Caenorhabditis elegans: one gene and its partners. The protein of the gene in region 3 purifies or fractionates together with the protein of the main gene of each other region. This does not show direct contact. Each region holds a gene or a part of one and is shown on either strand. Other genes may lie near its edges.

Region 1 (6,023 bases), on a different chromosome or scaffold from region 3:
TTTTTCAGCCATCTAATGACTGTACTTTTTTTTTTTGGGCAAAAAAAATAATTTTTCTGAAAACGTTCGAAACTACGGGAAATTGGAAAAGGGCAGTTTTTTAGTGTTCTCAGATCAATTTTGAGCCCTCTAACTACAAAATTGCCTATTTTAGAGGAGTTTCAAAATTGTGCTTTTTTGTCATAAATTGTCATTTTTGCCACTTTTTAATAGTTTTTGATGGGTTAAACCTAGATTTTCTGAATTCTCCATATATGAATTACCCGTCTTCAACAAAATTAGACCACTTTTTATTTTTGCCCAAATTTTTTTCAGCCATCAGACTGTACTTTTTTTTTTGGGCAAAAAAAATAATTTTTCTGAAAACGTTCGAAACTACGGGAAATTGGAAAAGGGCAGTTTTTTAGTGTTCTCAGATCAATTTTGAGCCCTCTAACTACAAAATTGCCTATTTTAGAGGAGTTTCAAAATTGTGCTTTTTTGTCATAAATTGTCATTTTTGCCACTTTTTAATAGTTTTTGATGGGTTAAACCTAGATTTTCTGAATTCTCCATATATGAATTACCCGTCTTCAACAAAATTAGACCACTTTTTATTTTTGCCCAAATTTTTTTCAGCCATCTAATGACTGTACTTTTTTTTTGGGCAAAAAAAATAATTTTTCTGAAAACGTTCGAAACTACGGGAAATTGGAAAAAGAGAAAGTATGGTTACTGTAGAAGGGTACTGTACTTCTATGTACAGACAGAGGATTGTTGTACTTTTACTGTTAAGGAATTTACGTCAAAAAATGATTTTGTTCCAGAAGATCTCAACTCGGACGTAATGTTCTCATCCATATCAACACATTTTCTGAAATTCACATCTTCGACGAGAAGGAAGAAACACAAAATGGAAACAGCTGGAGTTTGAAAATTACAGTTCGGATTAAATTGTGAAAAACCATTTTTGCATTTTTGTAAAACTGTTAACTATAAAATTCCCGAAATTCCAGAGCCTCACTCAAAATCGAGTTGCTTTTTCAGAAATAAAACAACATAATTGATTTATAAAATTGGAAAAATTCAACATTAAAACCAGGCAACCAACAAAAAGTAACACATATTTAAATAAAATATCAATTCTGCAAGTAAGCGTCTCCCTCGATGACACGTAGATAACTCTTTCCACTCGGCAACGGAACCGTCTTGCATTTGTCTGGATCTCCACCACAAAGCTCCTGAATAACTCTCTCTTGACTCAGAGATGGTTGAGCGATGACATTGTCACCGGCAATCCAGTTAGCCGGAGTTGCCACTGGAGCCTTTGTGCCGAGTTGAACACCGTCGACCATGCGGAGAATTTCGCTGGAAATTATGGGGAATTTTAGGCGCCAAGGCTAATGACTGGAAAATTGATAATTCTAAATATTTTTTCTAGTTTTTCAGTCTAAAAATATGTAATTCGACTTTGTTCGTGAATTCATTTATTGAATTTTCTAGTTTCACGTGGTGTCAGGCTGTCCCATTACCACTGGGTTCTGGCCTTTCTCATTGAATTTTCGCGCTCCGTAAATCTACACAAAATCTCTCCGACCCAAAATGGCCTAGTTCGGCCAACTCTGCCATTTCGATTTATAAGGGAAGCCAGAAATCCGTGCATCACGGTTTGATCTACAAAAAATGCCGGAATTTTTTGCCCAAAAAAAAGTGACGTCAGCACGTTCTTAATCATACGAAATCAGTTAAAAACTCTGCGTCTCTTCTCCCGCATTTTTTGTAGATCAACGTAGATCAATCCAAAATGAGATACTCTGACACCACGTGTAGTTTGGCAAACAGTTTTAAAAAAAACGGAGTCATTCGAAAATTGTGGAAAATTTAGCTTTTTCAATTTTTTTGTTTCAGGAGGCTTGCAAAAATCTACTTGCAAAAAAAGCAAAAATAGTTTTTTTTAGAATTCAAATTTCAACAAAAATCTATTGATTATTCGAATTCTGTGAATTTTTGAGATCCAGAAATGTCTGAAAACTTGAATTCTCTCCCCTCGAAATCTTCTCACTCACACAAAATTTCTGCCGAACGTAGCCGGATAGAGAATCTTCGATTTGAGCTTCTTATCAGGTCCAAAAAGCATCACAGCACGAGCCGAAAGACAGATTCCCTCCGAATTCATCTCATCCGGATCAATCATTCCGAGTTCTGTACAAATCGATCGATCCGTGTCGGCGATGATTTCAAATGGCAAATGGCTTCCGCAATTGCTCAATTGTGCCACCGAATTAATGTCTTTTGCCCAATCACGATGAGTTTCTGATGAATCGATACTGATCGCAAGGATCTGAACATGGCGTTTGCGGAATTCGGGAGCCAATTTGACGAGCTCGGCGAGTTCTGTAGTGCAGACGGGCGTAAAGTCGGCCGGGTGACTGAACAGCATCAGCCATCTGAAAATTGGATCGTTTTGGATTGGAATTTATTTTTTTAATAAAAGAATTTTAAAGTGAAAAAGTAGATTTTTGCAAAAAAAAATTATAAAAATTCTGAAATACTTTTTAAATGTGTTTTTTCAACTTTTTGCGAAAATTATTCAGGACTTTTTTAAAATATTTAAATTCACCTGAAAATGTAACTTTTGAAAAAAAAAATTTCGAAATGTTTTTAACATTTTTTATATAGTAAATCGTTAATTTTTTAGAAAAAAAAAATCCATATTTTTTTGGAAAATAGATGTTATTAAAGGTGGAGTAGTCGAATTTTTATTTATTTCTTTACTAGACTCAAAATTGTCTGAAAACGCCAAATTTCAACATGAAACTTCTTGAAAACTTCTCAAAAAAAAGTTATGACGGCTTAAAAACTAGCCTAAAATTAGTTAAAATCGAAAATTTGACCGACTTGTCAATGTCGAAGCGGCTGGAACCAATTTTTTTTGAAATCATCGTCAAATTTTGAGTAAAGGCGACATTGAAAAGTAGGTCAAATTTCTAATTTTAACTAATTTTAGGCCATTTTTGAGCCGTCTTAATTTTTTTTTTGAGAAATTTTCATGAAATTTCATAACGAAATTCCTTGTTTTCAGACAATTTTGAGTCTAATAAAGCAATTTAAAAAAATCCGGCTACACCACCTTTAACTCAATTTTTCATTTTTTTTCAAAATTTCCAAAAAAATTTGTTTTTTCAAAATCCTTTCAAATTAACTCAAACTATCCAATAAAGTACAACCAAATTAACAATTTTTTCTCCAAACTCACTGTTCTCCAATGTAGTTGTGCAAAGTTTGATTTTTGCGAAGATCCGTTTCGAATGTAAAATTTGGAACGGTGTCTCCGAGCTTCATCTCTTGAGTTTTAATCTGAAATTTATTATAATTTTCAGTTTTTTGAATGTTTCAATAAAAAAGTAAAAAATAGTTTCTTAAGAAGATAATATGATTTGGCTCAGCAAAGAAAAAACAAAAAAAAATTTCCAATCACAACAAAATTCAATTTATTTCGTTATTTCAGGGAAATGTTGACATGATTGTGTAGGTGATCGTGATCTACCGTACCAGTAGACACCTTCGTGTTGCTCGAAAAAATGTGAAAATTCGAGAAAACAACTCAAAAATAGCCAAGAAAAGGGCGGAGCGTAATCCAAATTAAAATCGCTAATAGGCTCCGCCCATATATTGGCTTTAAGCTTTTATAAATATCAAAAGCTTTCAAAATTTCAGAATTTTTTTAAAAGAATTTTTTTATTAATTCAGTAAAACTTAATTGAAACGTGCGTATTAAATCATTTATACATAAAAGCCATGAGATGGGCGGAGCTTATTTTGTGGTTTTTGTTCCCGGCGAATGTCATCTGTTTTATGTGTTAGACTTCACTTTCCAATCGGATATTTGGAGTGGTGTCGGACAATGAAATTATTTGTAATAAGCTCCACCCATTTCTTGGTTTTTTAAAATTCAATTTCTTAGATTTCAGCATTAAAATTGTTCTAAAACAAGAAAATTTAATTGGTTTTTTGTTTTGAAAATCTAAAGAGCTTTAGACCAAAAAGTTTGTTGAAGGAAACTTGAGAACCCGAACACAAAGTAAATAAAACAATTTTATTTCACTTTTTTCAGCCTCAAATTATTTGGAATAGGCTCCGCCCATTTCTTGGTTCTTTCAAAAATTCCATTCAATAGATCCCAGCAAAAATTAAAAACAAAAACAAATAATTTCCAGAAAAAAGTTAAGAAAAATTTAGATAGCTAATTTTTTTTCGTTGTTTTTAAACAATTAAAAAAAAAATTTCCAGAAAAAAGTTTTTCCAACGTTTTTTTTAGGAATTTGATTTTTTTTTTTAATTTTTGATTTTTCGCTTTAAAAAGTAATTACAAAAAAACTTTTTTTAAAAAACTGAAAAGGTTCTAAGCTTAGATAAAACTAGCAAATTATTTGAAAAAAGGAAAAAAATCAAAATATAAAATCATTGGTAGAGTAAACAAAGGAAAAAAAGCAAAAAAAAAACGTTAAAAATAATAGAAATTTGATTTATTATTATGACGGGGGGAAAAGTACACATTTATCACAGTTAAGACGGGTTTTTTGTAAAATAAAGTAATTTCTACGAAAAAAAGGGGTATAATTTGTAAATTATTGATTAGATCAAGGACAGGGATGCAAATTTTGAAAAAAAAATCATTAAAAATTACTGAAAAATCCCACAGAAAATGCTCAAAAACTACTAGAAATTTCGATTTCTCGAGAATTTTTTTTTTTGAATATTGTAGCAATTTCCGCTGGATATTTTCAATGAGAACCTCCCAAAAAAAGAGATTAAAAGCTGCAAAATTGAAAATTACACAGAAATTTAGATGCACAGAGAGATCCAAAAAGAACACAAAAATACAGTATTCAGATTTAAAAAAAATTTAGATTCCACCGAGCTCATCAACTTCATCATCATCATCTTCAACTCCGGATCGATCCCGTCGGAGCACCACGATATCTTCTGAGTCTGACGTTGGACTCGTCGTTCCTGCTCCGTTTCGTTGTAGGAGTTCCTGAAAAGATTAAGAATTAAAAATTGTTTTGGAGAATGGAAAATTTTCTTTAATTTCCATATATTCAAGAAAATTTGCAGGAATTTTTGGAAAATGTCATAGTTACTGAACCGTTTCTTTTTTATGATTTTAATTTTTAACAAAAATTCGTCAAAATAATAAATAAAACATAACAATTCATAATTTTCAGCCGCACCAAAAAAGTATTATGGTAATGAGAATCATTAGATTTTTTCAGGAAAAGAGTTCCCAAAAAGACTAAGAATAAGAATTTGGAAAAAAAACTTTTGAGGAAACAAATAAAATTGAATTTCTTATCAATTTTTTGATTTTTTCTCAAATTTTTGTAATGTTTCCTTAATAAAAGAAAAATAGTTGAGCTTCTCCAGTGAGCTGACAGTGCTACGTGGCCGTGGAAAAACTGATGGCCGAATTTTGTCTGTTTGCGGTTCCAAATTTCTGTTAAAAATAGAAAAAAAAACGGCTCCGAAGAATTTTTGGTTGAGGCTGAGGATTTTTGGTTGAAGCTGAGAATTTTTGGTTGAGGCTCAGAATTTTTGGTTGAGGCTGAGAATTTTTGGTTGAGGCTGAGAATTTTTGGTTGAGGCTGAGAATTTTTGGTTGAGGCTGAGAATTTTTGGTTGAGGCTGAGAATTTTTGGTTGAGGCTGAGAATTTTTGGTTGAGGCTGAGGATTTTTGGTTGAAGCTGAGAATTTTTGGTTGAGGCTGAGAATTTTTGGTTGAGGCTGAGAATTTTTGGTTGAGGCTCAGAATTTTTGGTTGAGGCTGAGAATTTTAGGTTGAGGCTGAGAATTTTTAGGTTGAGGCTGAGAATTTTTGGTTGAGGCTGAGAATTTTTGGTTGAGGCTGAGAATTTTTGATTGAGGCTGAGAATTTTTGGTTGAGGCTGAGGATTTTTGATTGAGGCTGAGGATTTTTGGTTGAGGCTGAGAATTTTAGGTTGAGGCTGAGAATTTTTGGTTGAGGCTGAGAATTTTTGGTTGA
Region 2 (5,900 bases), 1.3 Mb from region 3:
TAGGAAACTATCCGGCCAAAATGATTCCTTTGGCAGTCACAGTATTAGCGATGATGAAGCATGTCAGAGTTTGGAGTCAGGAGGATATGTGTCAGTTAACTGGATCAATCAGAGAAATGGAAAGCCATATATTACAATTGAAAATCGTAAAGATATTGATGTAGATGTGGAGAAGAGTAGACAAATGAACTCCAGGAACATGAATGGTTATGTGAAGAGTAACAATTCGGAGACGAATCCACATCTCACACAAATGCTTGACTTGTTCTCGGAAACTGAGAGGTTGAAACCAGAAGAGAGTTGGTATTGCTCGACGTGCAAAGAGAATGTGGAGGCTACCAAGAAGCTTCAGTTGTATAGGTTGCCGCCTGTTCTGATCATTCAGTTGAAGAGATTCGTCTATACAGGTGAGATAATTCTGGAAACTTACTTATAAGAAGGGATTACTCCGTATGAACCTACCTGATTAAAAAAATAGGTGTAGGTAATTTTTGTAGGCATGCAGGCAGGTAAGCATAAGTTTCAAAAAATCTCTCGATTTTTCAAAAAATCTATTGTATGGACTTTCAGCATTCACTTATCAATCATCAATGGCTCGTCGAAGCAAGGACACCCGATCAGTTGAGTATCCATTGGAGAGTCTTGATATGTCTCCGTTTTTAGCAGAAACATCTCCACATCCTAATTCAACGGTAACTATTCACAGTAATTATTTTCAAAAAATATTGAAATTTCAGATGTATGATCTAACGGGAGTAGTATGCCATAGTGGAAACAGTTACTTCGGTCATTATATTAGTATGGGTCGACTCGCCGATTTTGATTCGTCGAAAACGAAAATCGAATGGAGGAATTTCGATGATTCGACGGTGGCTCGGCAGTCTACGAGCACTTTACAAACGGAGGATGCTTACTTACTCTTCTATAAAATGAGAGATCAGAATGTGACGAGGAGTATATTCAAGTGAGTTGGAAACCCCAAGAACTATAAATCTGGGAAAGAATTTCCTGAAATTCAAGAAAATCGATAAATCCTGAGAACGGCTTTTTTTGAGACGAAGACGTTCAAATAATTGAGATAGTTTCCAGCACGGTATTGATAGTATGATAGTTGATTAGAAAGCACTATTGTAATAAGCAAATTGATAATTGAATTTGTAAGCATTGGATAAAAGTGAGAACTGATTGATTCAGCTTCAGATTTGGACAATTTATATATTCCAAATCTAAATAATAAGTTCCACGACCGAGGTCACGCAAATTGAAAATTTTTTTCTTAAATTTTTCTTTAAAAAATTAAATAAAAATTTTGGATTTCAATAATAAGAAACCGTGATTTGCTTGTTTTTTCAAAACTTTTAGGCAAAGATTTCATAAATCGCCAAAAAATTGTGAATTTCTGTGGTTATTTAAGATATCCTGCAGGTTCGAGCTCCTAGAATTTGAAAAAAACAATTAGTACGAAATTAGTAAAAAAAAACCAGGATAACATATTTTGACCGACTTACAAGGTAATGCTTGAAAACTGAATGTTCAGAACTTTTTCACTGGAATAAAAATTTCAAAAAAGGTTTTGAAAGTTTTTCCATAATATTTTTTATTTTGGAACTAGTTGTTCATTTTCAAACTGATGAGTTTTTTTTTTTTTTTAATGATTTAATTTTTAATGATCACCGCGCTGGGTTTTTATCAAAGTAACCTATTCCGATCAATGAACAATTTTTTATTTCAGACGCCACTACTCGTGTGATCCTGGAGCTCCAGAAGAAGTCAAAATTTAGTCATTTTTCTAGATTTTCATAAATTCATCAATTTTTTTTTCCACGTGTTGTTCATTGTCTTCATTTCTTTCAAAACCTGTTACCATGTTTTTAGATATTACATCTTTGATTTAATATTTATATATTTTTCATTAATTTTCCTAATTTTATTGATTATTAAAATAACAATTGTTTGAATCCACGGAGACCGGTTTCAGTTTTTTTTTTGTTCCCCGAAGAGAATAAATTAATTTCAAAATTAAAATTCTGTCCTTGACTGCAAAGGAAAAAAAGAAAAAAGAAATCAAGATAAGCCGATGAAAATTGATAAGAAGGGGAAAAGATAAGATACGAGTTCCAAATATTATCTGTTTTTAGTTCAATGCATTTTGAGGCCATTCACGTGCCATTTTGCAGGCCTACGTGCCTGCCTATCGCCTGATTTCTGAATTTTGGCCCGTGATATATGACGCCATTGTTTTGTTTTTTTTTCACATAAAATCACTGTCAGTGAAAATTTTTAAAGATCAAAAAAATAACCAAAACAATTAATTTTTGATCACAATTTTATCTGACCTGAATGGTTTAAAATGGGAACATTATCTGTTTGGGAACCTTCAAAAAAAATTTTTTTGCTTTTTTTAAAATTTGCTTTTGGTTTTTGAAAGCTTTTTCTAGGAATTATAGGGTCTGTCATCATTGTAGGTTCTTCATGCGAACGGGCCTACGTGCCTGCCTACAAATTATTTGCTTCGCTTTCAAGAGGACTAACATGTTTCCTTTCAGTAGAGTGTAGGCATGAGGCAGGCAGGCATTTTTAGCCACCTAAAAAATTTCTGGAAAATAATACTACGTGTGTCTTATTCTCTTACCATAACTGACCAGCTGCCAAATTTGTTGGCAAACAGTTTTTGCCCTCAACAAGCTAACCACCTGATTCTCTTTCTCTCTTCTCTTTTTTGTGTTTCTTTGATTATTTGACACGTGCTATCAATCGCATTTTTATTTTTTTATTTCAGAATTTTCTAAATTAAAAAAAAAGCATATCGTTATGTCAAGTGAAAACCAGAAAATCGTGGTTTTCGGAAGTATCGTTCAGGATCTTGTCAGGTCTGTTTTTTTTAAATTTTATCTTTCATTAAACAATTTTACATTATAAACTACCAATTTCCAGCTACACAGATAGTTTCCCAAGACCTGGAGAGTCGGTGCGCGGTCACAATTTCAAGCTGGGCTCCGGCGGAAAAGGCGCCAATCAGGCAGTTGCTGCGGCTCGCCTAGGGATCAATGTCTCAATGATTGGAATGGTTGGAGAAGATATGTTCGGAGATTCTAATATTAAGGATTTGAGCAGCAATGGAGTTGATACAAGTTGTGTGGGACGGACCAAAAAGACACATACCGCCACAGCGACTATCACTGTTAACAAAGAAGGTTTGTATCCGAGTTTTGGCGGGAAAAAAATATTTAAGATTATGTGTGGCCTCTTGAATGTCTTGAAGAAACATTCAATATTTGTAGCAAGACCCTACCTCTAAGAAAAAATTGCCAACCGGGTTAAGAATAAGTTCCTATAGCTATATCTGTTCTTATAGCTCGTAGATCACTGAAATTCTAATTTTGTTCTGAAAACGATTTGTCTACGTTCATAGAATCTATTTTCTCTTTCTTTTTCCCCCATTTTTTTGGTGACGTAATATAAATAACTTATTATTTCGAAGAACCTTCAGTGACGACGACAAACAAATAACTTTGAACTGGAACTAATAGTAAGAAGTGGGGGAGAGAGGGTAAGGAGAATTACAAATTTTTAGACTCAAAAAGTGAGCTCAAAATGTGATGCATCTAGTAGAAAATTGGAATTTGACATATGTAGAAAAAATATTTCAAATAGCATCTACAGACATGAAAAGTTCGATTTGTTACAGTGCAATTGAGGTGTAAAACTATTAAAATATGGTAAATTCGAAAAATTAAATTTTCTTGATTTTCAGATTTACATGAGACTTACATTATTTCAAATCCAAATTCCAAAATTTCCAGGCGAAAACAACATTGTGGTGACGCTGGGTGCAAATCTTGAAATGTCGCCTGAAATCGCTGATGCGAACTCTTCAAAAATTGCTGGCTCGAAAATGGTCATTTGTCAGGGAGAAATTGACGAAAAAGGAAATAGAAGAGCCTTCGAAATTGCTAGAAGTCACGGAGTCACCACTTTTTTAAATCCAGCTCCTGGGGATCCGAATATGGATAAGACGATTCTCGAGCTGGTTGATATTATTTGTACCAATGAGAATGAAGTAGGTCTATGTTATTTTTTCTAATCAATTGAACTTTTCCAAATATTGTTCTGAACAAAAAATAAATTAAATTTCAACTTTCCAGGCGGAATTCATCACTGGAATCGCTCAAAACAACGTGAAAGACGCTGAAAAAGCAGCACGTGCAATGCTCAAAATGGGACCTCAACATGCGATCATAACTCTCGGAGGCAAAGGTTGGGGGACTTACACTGGGATAATTTGAAACAATAAATTTTTTTTTGAATTGTAGGTGTCCTGCTTGCATCCAAAGGAGTCGATGATGTTGAGCATACCGCCGTGATCAAAGTCGATGCAGTTGATACTACGGTAATACTAAAAAATAAATTTTGTCCGAGCTTGGGTCCCACCACAATATATTTTTTGAAACGAAAGAAATTAGTTGCCTTTCTAGTTATTTTTAGTTAAAAATGTTGTGCATGGGCCTCTAAAAAACTACTTTATCAAAATCAAAATTTTTGGCGCAAGTTTTCTACAGTAACCTGGAGGAAATATGAACAAGATCAATCTGCATATAGGTATAATATTAATTGAAAATTCCAGGGAGCCGGTGACTGTTTCTGTGGTTCACTGGCTGCTCATTTGGTTGCCGGCCATCCGATTTCCGCATCAATACGCTCGGCTGCCAACTTGGCCGCACTTTCTGTGACACGTCATGGAACTCAATCGAGTTATTGGAAGCTCGACGAGATTCGCCAACAATACCCGGAATTCTTGCCTTAAAACTTATTACAGTGTCTTTCAAGAAATTTGTGATTAGGTCTGAAATAAAAATTCTGCTTTCCAAACACATTTTATACTTTCAATATGTTTTAATTAGCTGTTGAACATTGCAGGGAGCCTGAATTTTTTGAAAATTTGGAAATTTACCGTTTAATGTTAATGTTTGTTCCAAAATAACACAATTCTCCTATAATGAATTTCTTTCCCGTTTTGTTATTTTCCTTTTCAACAAATTTAAATGCTGAAAATTTAATTTCCAGAATCGCATAGTCATTGTGTATAAAGAAATTTGCGTAAATTCAATTATTTCATTGTTTTCGTTTTTCGAGCGAGTCGAGAGCTTCTCCGATAAAAATACAGACGAAAGACAAGAATGATGAATTAAATAATATAAGAATGACGACAAATTGGAAAATGTTTAAATAGTAGATGGGACGGGGGGGGGGGGGGAGGTCTTAAACTAACATTTTACGAAAACTGATCCGCTATTTTCATGAGAGACTTGAATTAGTGTCTAGTAGGGAGGAAAATTGAGAAAGCGGTGTGCCAAAAAGACAGAAATCCTTCCGGCGGAATGAAGAAAATGAGATATAAACCGGGGGAATAGTCCGTTAAAGTAGATAAATAAGGTTGGGTGGGGAATAAATATACAGTGGCGGGGGAAGAGATAAAACTTTAATGGTACCGAATTTGTCTTTTTGTTAAGTTAAAAAAATTAAAACCCATAATTCAAATTAAAACACAAGTCTGAGTCAATCGGGTAAAACATACATGTTATATGAATAGCGGAATAAATAAACGGGCGAGAGAAATAGATATATACTTTTTTTTGACAAGATTGCACATAGGTTGAGAATCGACAGTAGATTTTGGGTTGGTTGAATTTGGCAGAGGAAATAAGGCTCTTCCTGATTAGGTACTGCTTACTGGTGGAACGGCGAGTGATGCTACAGATGGTGGCCCAGTCATGTTCGGGTCAGCCTTGTCGTTGGTGAACACTATCAGCAGGTAGCGGGTCTGAAAATTGGAAAAATTAGGTAAGAATTAGGCAAAGTCAGGTAGAAATCTGGGTTATTCTTTGGAAATTTCTATACAA
Region 3 (5,882 bases):
CCAGGAACGAATCATCAGAGTCACTGACCTCATTGAGAAACGAGAAAAGCGTCTGATAGACGTCATCGGCCGACTGAAACTGATTCAAGTCAGCGACAACTGTAGCCTCACTATTATAAGTGAGTATGCTAAGCCTGGTAGATCTTGGATCAGAATAGTCCGTTCCAATTCTTGGGCCACTTGCAAATGTGGTCGCAATATTGGCTGCAACTTCTGTGATTCCTTCGTTTGTCATGCCTTTCGAGTTATCCACGACTATAACGATGTCTAGCCAAAGGTTATTCCAGTTACTTCCACAGTTGCGATCAGTTGAAGCTTGGGTTGTTGCAAAAGCAGTGAAAATGGCAAGTAGGTTTAGTAACATTGCTGGAAATTTTGGAGCTTCATAGCTTCAGCTTCATATACCGAAAAACTGTAAAAATGCATTCAAAATAATTGCAGTAAGTTTGAAAACCAATTTTCAAAAAAACGCCAAACAACAGAAAATTGACAAAAAGCAGGCATGCAGGCAGATAAATAGGCATGTGTGCGTGCCTGTTTTTCATGAGAAACCAAAACATGCCTACCTGCCTGAACAATATGGAAAAAAGTAAACTTGAATGTGGAAAAGTAAGGAAATGATGATATTCTGAAAATAATCTTTTATGAGTTTTTTTTTTCGAGGGATTAGCATTTCCACACGGGTGTGCACACATTATTTGCTCAATGATAACGAAATTTAGTGATTTTCGATGCAATCGAATTTGTAATTAATTTTAGTTTTGGGTAGGTGAAAGTGAAAGGTTAAGAGCTTTTAACATTTATATTTTTGAGAAAATGTTGATTTTTTAACGGGGTTCTGGCCTTCCTCATTACATTTTTCTCGCTCCATTGACAAGCCGGACAACGGGTGGGATAGTCGTGTACTCTACACGGACAAATGCATTCAGCTTTACAACTAAAACCGAGCCGCGACGCGCCGTAAATCTACCCCAGATATGTCCGAGCCAAAATGGCCTAGTTCGGTAAACTATTGAAACTTGAACACAACTTTCAGTCTGTCTTCTTTGTATTTTGTAGTTTGATTTGCGGACAACACAACTGTGAGGGGATGAATCTACAATATAAGTTTTACTACACTTCAGAAATTATTTAAACAGTATTATATTTCTTGATTTTTTCCATTCGACAAATTATTTTAATGTGAAAGCAAATTAAAAAAAAAATTCATCATTAAAGCCTTTATACCGCAACAGGAACCTTACAAAAAAAATTAGTGTAGCTAAATTAACAATACTTGTCGGTATCACAGGAAGCGACTTCGCACATGTAGTACTCAGCAACACTGTATGCGTTGATGTTCTGCCATCCAACAGTGAGATCCGAGCTGAATTGCTGCTCAACGACTCCGATGTTGCTGGTGAAGGACTTTGGATAGGATGGGTTCCATTTGGAGTAGCCGCTCATCTGAAAATTGATTAGGCTTATCATCCGAACAATGTTCAATTTTTCGTTATCACTTCTAGTGATTTGATCTTTTTCAAGGTTCAATACGACTATCATCATCTTACATCATTACGTGACAACGGCAAAACTTACTGGCTTGAGTGGGTATCCAGCTGGTTGCTGCCAATTCCATCCTCCGTTCACATAACTCAATCCGATGTGATAGATGTATGGAGCTTGGAAGGCGGTGTTGTTCTGGGCGACTCTGAAGAGGAAGTTGTGCTTCTGTCCGTCGTACTCGGCGGCGAGGAATCCGTTCTTGGCGAGGTTCTGGCACGCGAACTTGGCAGCGGTCCAGGATGAGGAGATGGTGGCGGGGCGGATGCACACTCCGTATTTGTAAGAGTTCTCGTCGTCGAAGTTCGACTTGTATTGGGTCCACAAGTTCGGGCAGAAGCAGTTGGCTGTAATTTTGAAATTTTATGTATTGGTAGAACAACTAAGGATCTTACTTTGAAGAGCAGCTCCTTGAAGTTCTCCAACCAAGTTCAAGTCCTTGGAGGTGAAAGCGTAGTTTGGCGAGGCGATGTTGGTGAGTCCGGCGAGAAGAGCCTCATCTCCGTCCTGGTCGAAGGCAACGGTGGAGACAACGACTCCGGAGGACTTGAGACGATCGGCGACTGGAATGGGGTCGAGCTCGCCTTCTCCCCTGAAACGTAGGAGTGTGTAATTACTTTAAATATTTGGGTGCTCTCTATTTTTGTCTGATCTTCAGAAATTCCTAAATGCTCCCTTTACCGAAGTTTCCGCAGAGTTGAAGGATCCAACAGAAGTACGACGTTTTGGTTGGAATTGATGTAAGCTTAAATTTAACCTAAGCTGTAAGCCTAAGCTTAGTAAGGTAAGAGCATAGGTTAATTTATAATCCGATTCGACCATGCGTATTTGTTCAAAGTTCTAGTAATCGCATCAAAACCCTCTCAAGACGAAATAGATGAATTTTAACAGACAAGAAAGAAAGTATTCTACGTAAGTTCTTACTTGTAAGCTGAAGCGTAGACAACGACGAGTCTCTTGTAGTTCGATCGAACTCCATTGGTTCTTCCGGATTGGAGCACATTCTCTGCGGCACCGATTCCTTTAGCCAGGAAAGAGTCGTCGGAGTTGCTGACCTGGTTGAGAGTAGAGAAAACCGATTGGTAGAGGTCGTCGATCGATTGAAGGAGGTTCAAGTCAGCGACGATAGTGGATCTTCCGTTATAGGTGACAAGTCCGAGTCTGGTGGATCTTGGGTCGGAGTACTGGTTTCCGATTCTGGTTCCGTTTCCGAAGACGGTGACGATGTTGGCGGCGATTTCGGTGATTCCTTCATTGGTCATACCCTTGGAGTTGTCGACGACGACGACAACATCAAGCCAAAGGTTGGTCAAGTCTCCACCGCATTCACGGTCGACATTTGAGCCCCCTGGAGTTGGTGGTGGTGTTGATGGTGTTGGTCCTTGTGTTGCTCCTGTTTGCCATGATGTAGTGCTATCTTGTGCGGAGGCAAGAGCCACAAGGGTCAGTGCCAAGCTCACCAGTTTGAACATGGCTGAAAACATAATAATACTAATAATAATATTAAATTGAATTTGTTTAAAAACTTGAAAAGAAGCCAACTAACGATGAGAAAATGATGAGAACTGCTTGGGAGGGGGCGTATTTTAAGACAATTTTCGTATGCTCCCCCATCACTGATAACACCTTATCACCAGGAGGTGCAGCATACATTTCAAAACCGATGGCTATTAAATTTTTTAGAATTAAAGATAGCAGGAAGGACTGATGGGTGTTGTTAATTGAAATTTCGTGTTGAAAAGTTTAAACAACCCCACCCAACTAATCGACTTAACTGAAAATTTTTAGAATGTTTGTTTATAATTTGAACTTGAACTTTAATTAGATTTGGCCTTTAGCGCAACTTATCGTCTACCAAAATGTCACCAGCACCTTTTGATTAATTATAACAATCTTATGTTAGTAAATGACGTTTGCGGGCTTCTTATCATTACTGAATTTGTCATTCATTTTCAAAGTAGTTTTTTAATTGATTTTTGTTTGTGACATCAATTAAGTAAAGTTCATCTTCAGATGCTTATTGGGCTTCTTCTACTTTTTCTGCTCTCCGTCACCTACGGCCAGGTGCCTCCCACGGATAGAAACTGCGGTCATGACCTGGCGAATCTCTGGTTGGACGTAGTCGTTGTAGTCGACAACTCGGCTCCGATGACACAAGAGGGGCTTACAGAGGTTTGTTTTCTCTCTGAAATCAATTACGAAATTGTTATCAGGTGGCTGCCCAAATTGTGACAGTGTTTGGCGCTGGCACGAGGATTGGGACGAATTATATCGATAAAAGGACAACCCGAGTTGGATTGGTTACCTACAACACTGAGGCAACAATTGTAAGAGCGGGAATCGCAAATGTTACCTGGGCTTGGGGGCCTTTGCCTGCCTATACCAGCACGTGATGTCAGGCTGTCCCATTACGTTTTGATCTACAAAAAATGCGGGAATTTTTTGCCCAAAAAAAGTGACGTCAGCAAGTTCTTAACCATGCGATATCAGTTGAAAACTATGCGTCTCTTCTCCCGCTTTTTTTGTAGATCTATGTAGATCGAGCCGAAATGAGACACTCTGACACCACGTGAGGTGTGCGATGGAGCACCGTTCCTCGCTCATCACGTGATGCCAGAGTGTACCATTTCGGGTTGATCTACCATAAATGCGGGACTTTAGACGCAGACTTTAGAACTGATTTCACAGCTTGCTGACGTCGCATTTTCCTGGGAAAACATCCCGCATTTTTTGAAGATCAACCCGTGATGGGACAGCCTGACATCACGTGCAATAGTGTGAGCTCGGACTTAAATGGAGCAAGTCTGTAGCATCATAACAGAACCTAACTTAAGTTTTAACCAAGTGTTTTCAGCAAGCCGATCTAAATCGCTTCCAGTCGCCAGATGATCTTTTCAGCACGGTATTTCAAATTCTTCCGAATGACCTGAGCACTTCAGAAGATGTTTTCCTAGCGAAGTGAGTTTTTCATACCTTTAAACCATTCCAAGTCCCATGATTTCCAGAGGAATCGGAGCAGCTGAGCAACTCCTGGCCGCTGGTCGCAAGAACAACACTCGCAAAAACTACAAGCAAATGGTGATTGTCTATGCATCCGCTTATAATGATGAAGGTGAAGAGGATCCTAGGCCTATCGCTGAACGGCTTAAGGCGTCTGGTGTTAGCATCGCAACTGTCGCTTTTGATCAGACTGGAGATGAAGAGATGATCAAGCTGATTGGAGAAATTGCGACGCCGGGTTTCAATTTTACGAATGAAGATGAAAATCTGGTTAAGGAAATTCAAACTGCAATGATTCAGAGTAAGACTGAAAATTCCAAAAGTTTTTTTCCAAAAGTTATCGTTAGCTAATTTTTTCAGCCAACTGCTACTGCTCAAACCTTTGGACTCAATACCGAGAAACATTCGAGGACCCTCATTCTTCAAAATTCGGAGTTTGCCTGCGCCCGGTGGCTCTGACAGCTGGCTGGACCCCAGCAAAGTTTGCGTGTCAGAATATGATCCAGACGGGGTACATGGTCACCGAGTATGATCAGAAGAAGCATGACTATGTTTTCAGTAAGTTAAATTAGATTTTTTTAAAGGTTCGAGGTGCATCAATTGTTTTTTTTTCATAACTTGTCCGCAACGACACTTCATTCCCCGAGCCCTATGTGTATCACATCGGACTGAGCTATGTGAATGGAGGATATGCGTGGCAACAACCTGTGGGTCACGCGTTGGTGCCGGTAAGTCCCTTCCCATAATCTGCCAAAGTTCTTATCCCTGTATCAGTTCCAGCTTAACGATAGCCTATGGAATCCAGGATTCCCTACACAATCATCTACGACCACCGCCGTCCTCAATCAGCAATCCAGCAGTGCTTTCAGAGTGGGATGGCAGAATGTCAACCAGTATACGGTGTCCGAGAGATATGTTTGTGAAGTTGCCGCGTGTGATACGTCTACATATTGTGAATAATGGAATTAATTACATAAGTTACAGACATAATTCCATTTGAAATCGGTTATAATTGAATGTATACTGTAATGAAATTCAAAGCAAAATATTTTTACTTTTTTTCACGGGGCTCTGGTCTTCCTCCTTTGCATTTTTCGCGCTCCATTGACAATCGCCCGCCGGACAACGCGTGGGAAAGTCGTGTACTCCACAACTAAAATCGAGCCGCGACGCGACACGCAACGCGCCGTAAATCTACCCCAATTATGGCCGAACCAAAATGGCCTAGTTCGGCAAACTCTTCCATTTCAATGTACGAGGGAAGCCAGATATCCGTGTTTTTGTTTAGTGTTACAGTGCTCCAGTTAATCACGGTTACGAAAATTTCCAAAATTTTCAAA

What was found. Proteins that work in one complex are often made in the same cells at the same time.
Region 1: the proteins of clec-63 (region 3) and prdx-6 fractionate together in Caenorhabditis elegans (co-fractionation; one large-scale study listed by BioGRID). This does not show direct contact.
Region 2: the proteins of clec-63 (region 3) and F07A11.5 fractionate together in Caenorhabditis elegans (co-fractionation; one large-scale study listed by BioGRID). This does not show direct contact.

What each region holds. Positions count from the first base shown.
Region 1 is NC_003282.8:215,865-221,887, reverse strand, and holds prdx-6 (Thioredoxin domain-containing protein), read right to left. Parts: upstream 3,337-6,023; 5' UTR 3,322-3,336; coding exon 3,236-3,321; intron 2,427-3,235; coding exon 2,046-2,426; intron 1,348-2,045; coding exon 1,119-1,347; 3' UTR 1,035-1,118; downstream 1-1,034. Other genes in the region: Y38C1AA.1 (Phospholipid/glycerol acyltransferase domain-containing protein), read right to left, coding at 4,886-5,017.
Region 2 is NC_003280.10:11,609,526-11,615,425, forward strand, and holds F07A11.5 (Ribokinase), read left to right. Parts: upstream 1-2,774; 5' UTR 2,775-2,811; coding exon 2,812-2,870; intron 2,871-2,934; coding exon 2,935-3,194; intron 3,195-3,803; coding exon 3,804-4,060; intron 4,061-4,145; coding exon 4,146-4,257; intron 4,258-4,313; coding exon 4,314-4,390; intron 4,391-4,624; coding exon 4,625-4,804; 3' UTR 4,805-4,866; downstream 4,867-5,900. Other genes in the region: F07A11.4 (ubiquitinyl hydrolase 1), read left to right, coding at 1-407, 571-692, 738-964, 1,733-1,781; din-1 (Daf-12-interacting protein 1), read right to left, coding at 5,717-5,821.
Region 3 is NC_003280.10:12,892,772-12,898,653, reverse strand, and holds clec-63 (C-type LECtin), read right to left. Parts: upstream 3,017-5,882; 5' UTR 3,015-3,016; coding exon 2,467-3,014; intron 2,135-2,466; coding exon 1,938-2,134; intron 1,890-1,937; coding exon 1,579-1,889; intron 1,447-1,578; coding exon 1,267-1,446; 3' UTR 1,208-1,266; downstream 1-1,207. Other genes in the region: clec-64 (VWFA domain-containing protein), read right to left, coding at 1-364; clec-62 (VWFA domain-containing protein), read left to right, coding at 3,556-3,714, 3,756-3,869, 4,397-4,500, 4,548-4,843, 4,903-5,100, 5,158-5,270, 5,317-5,502.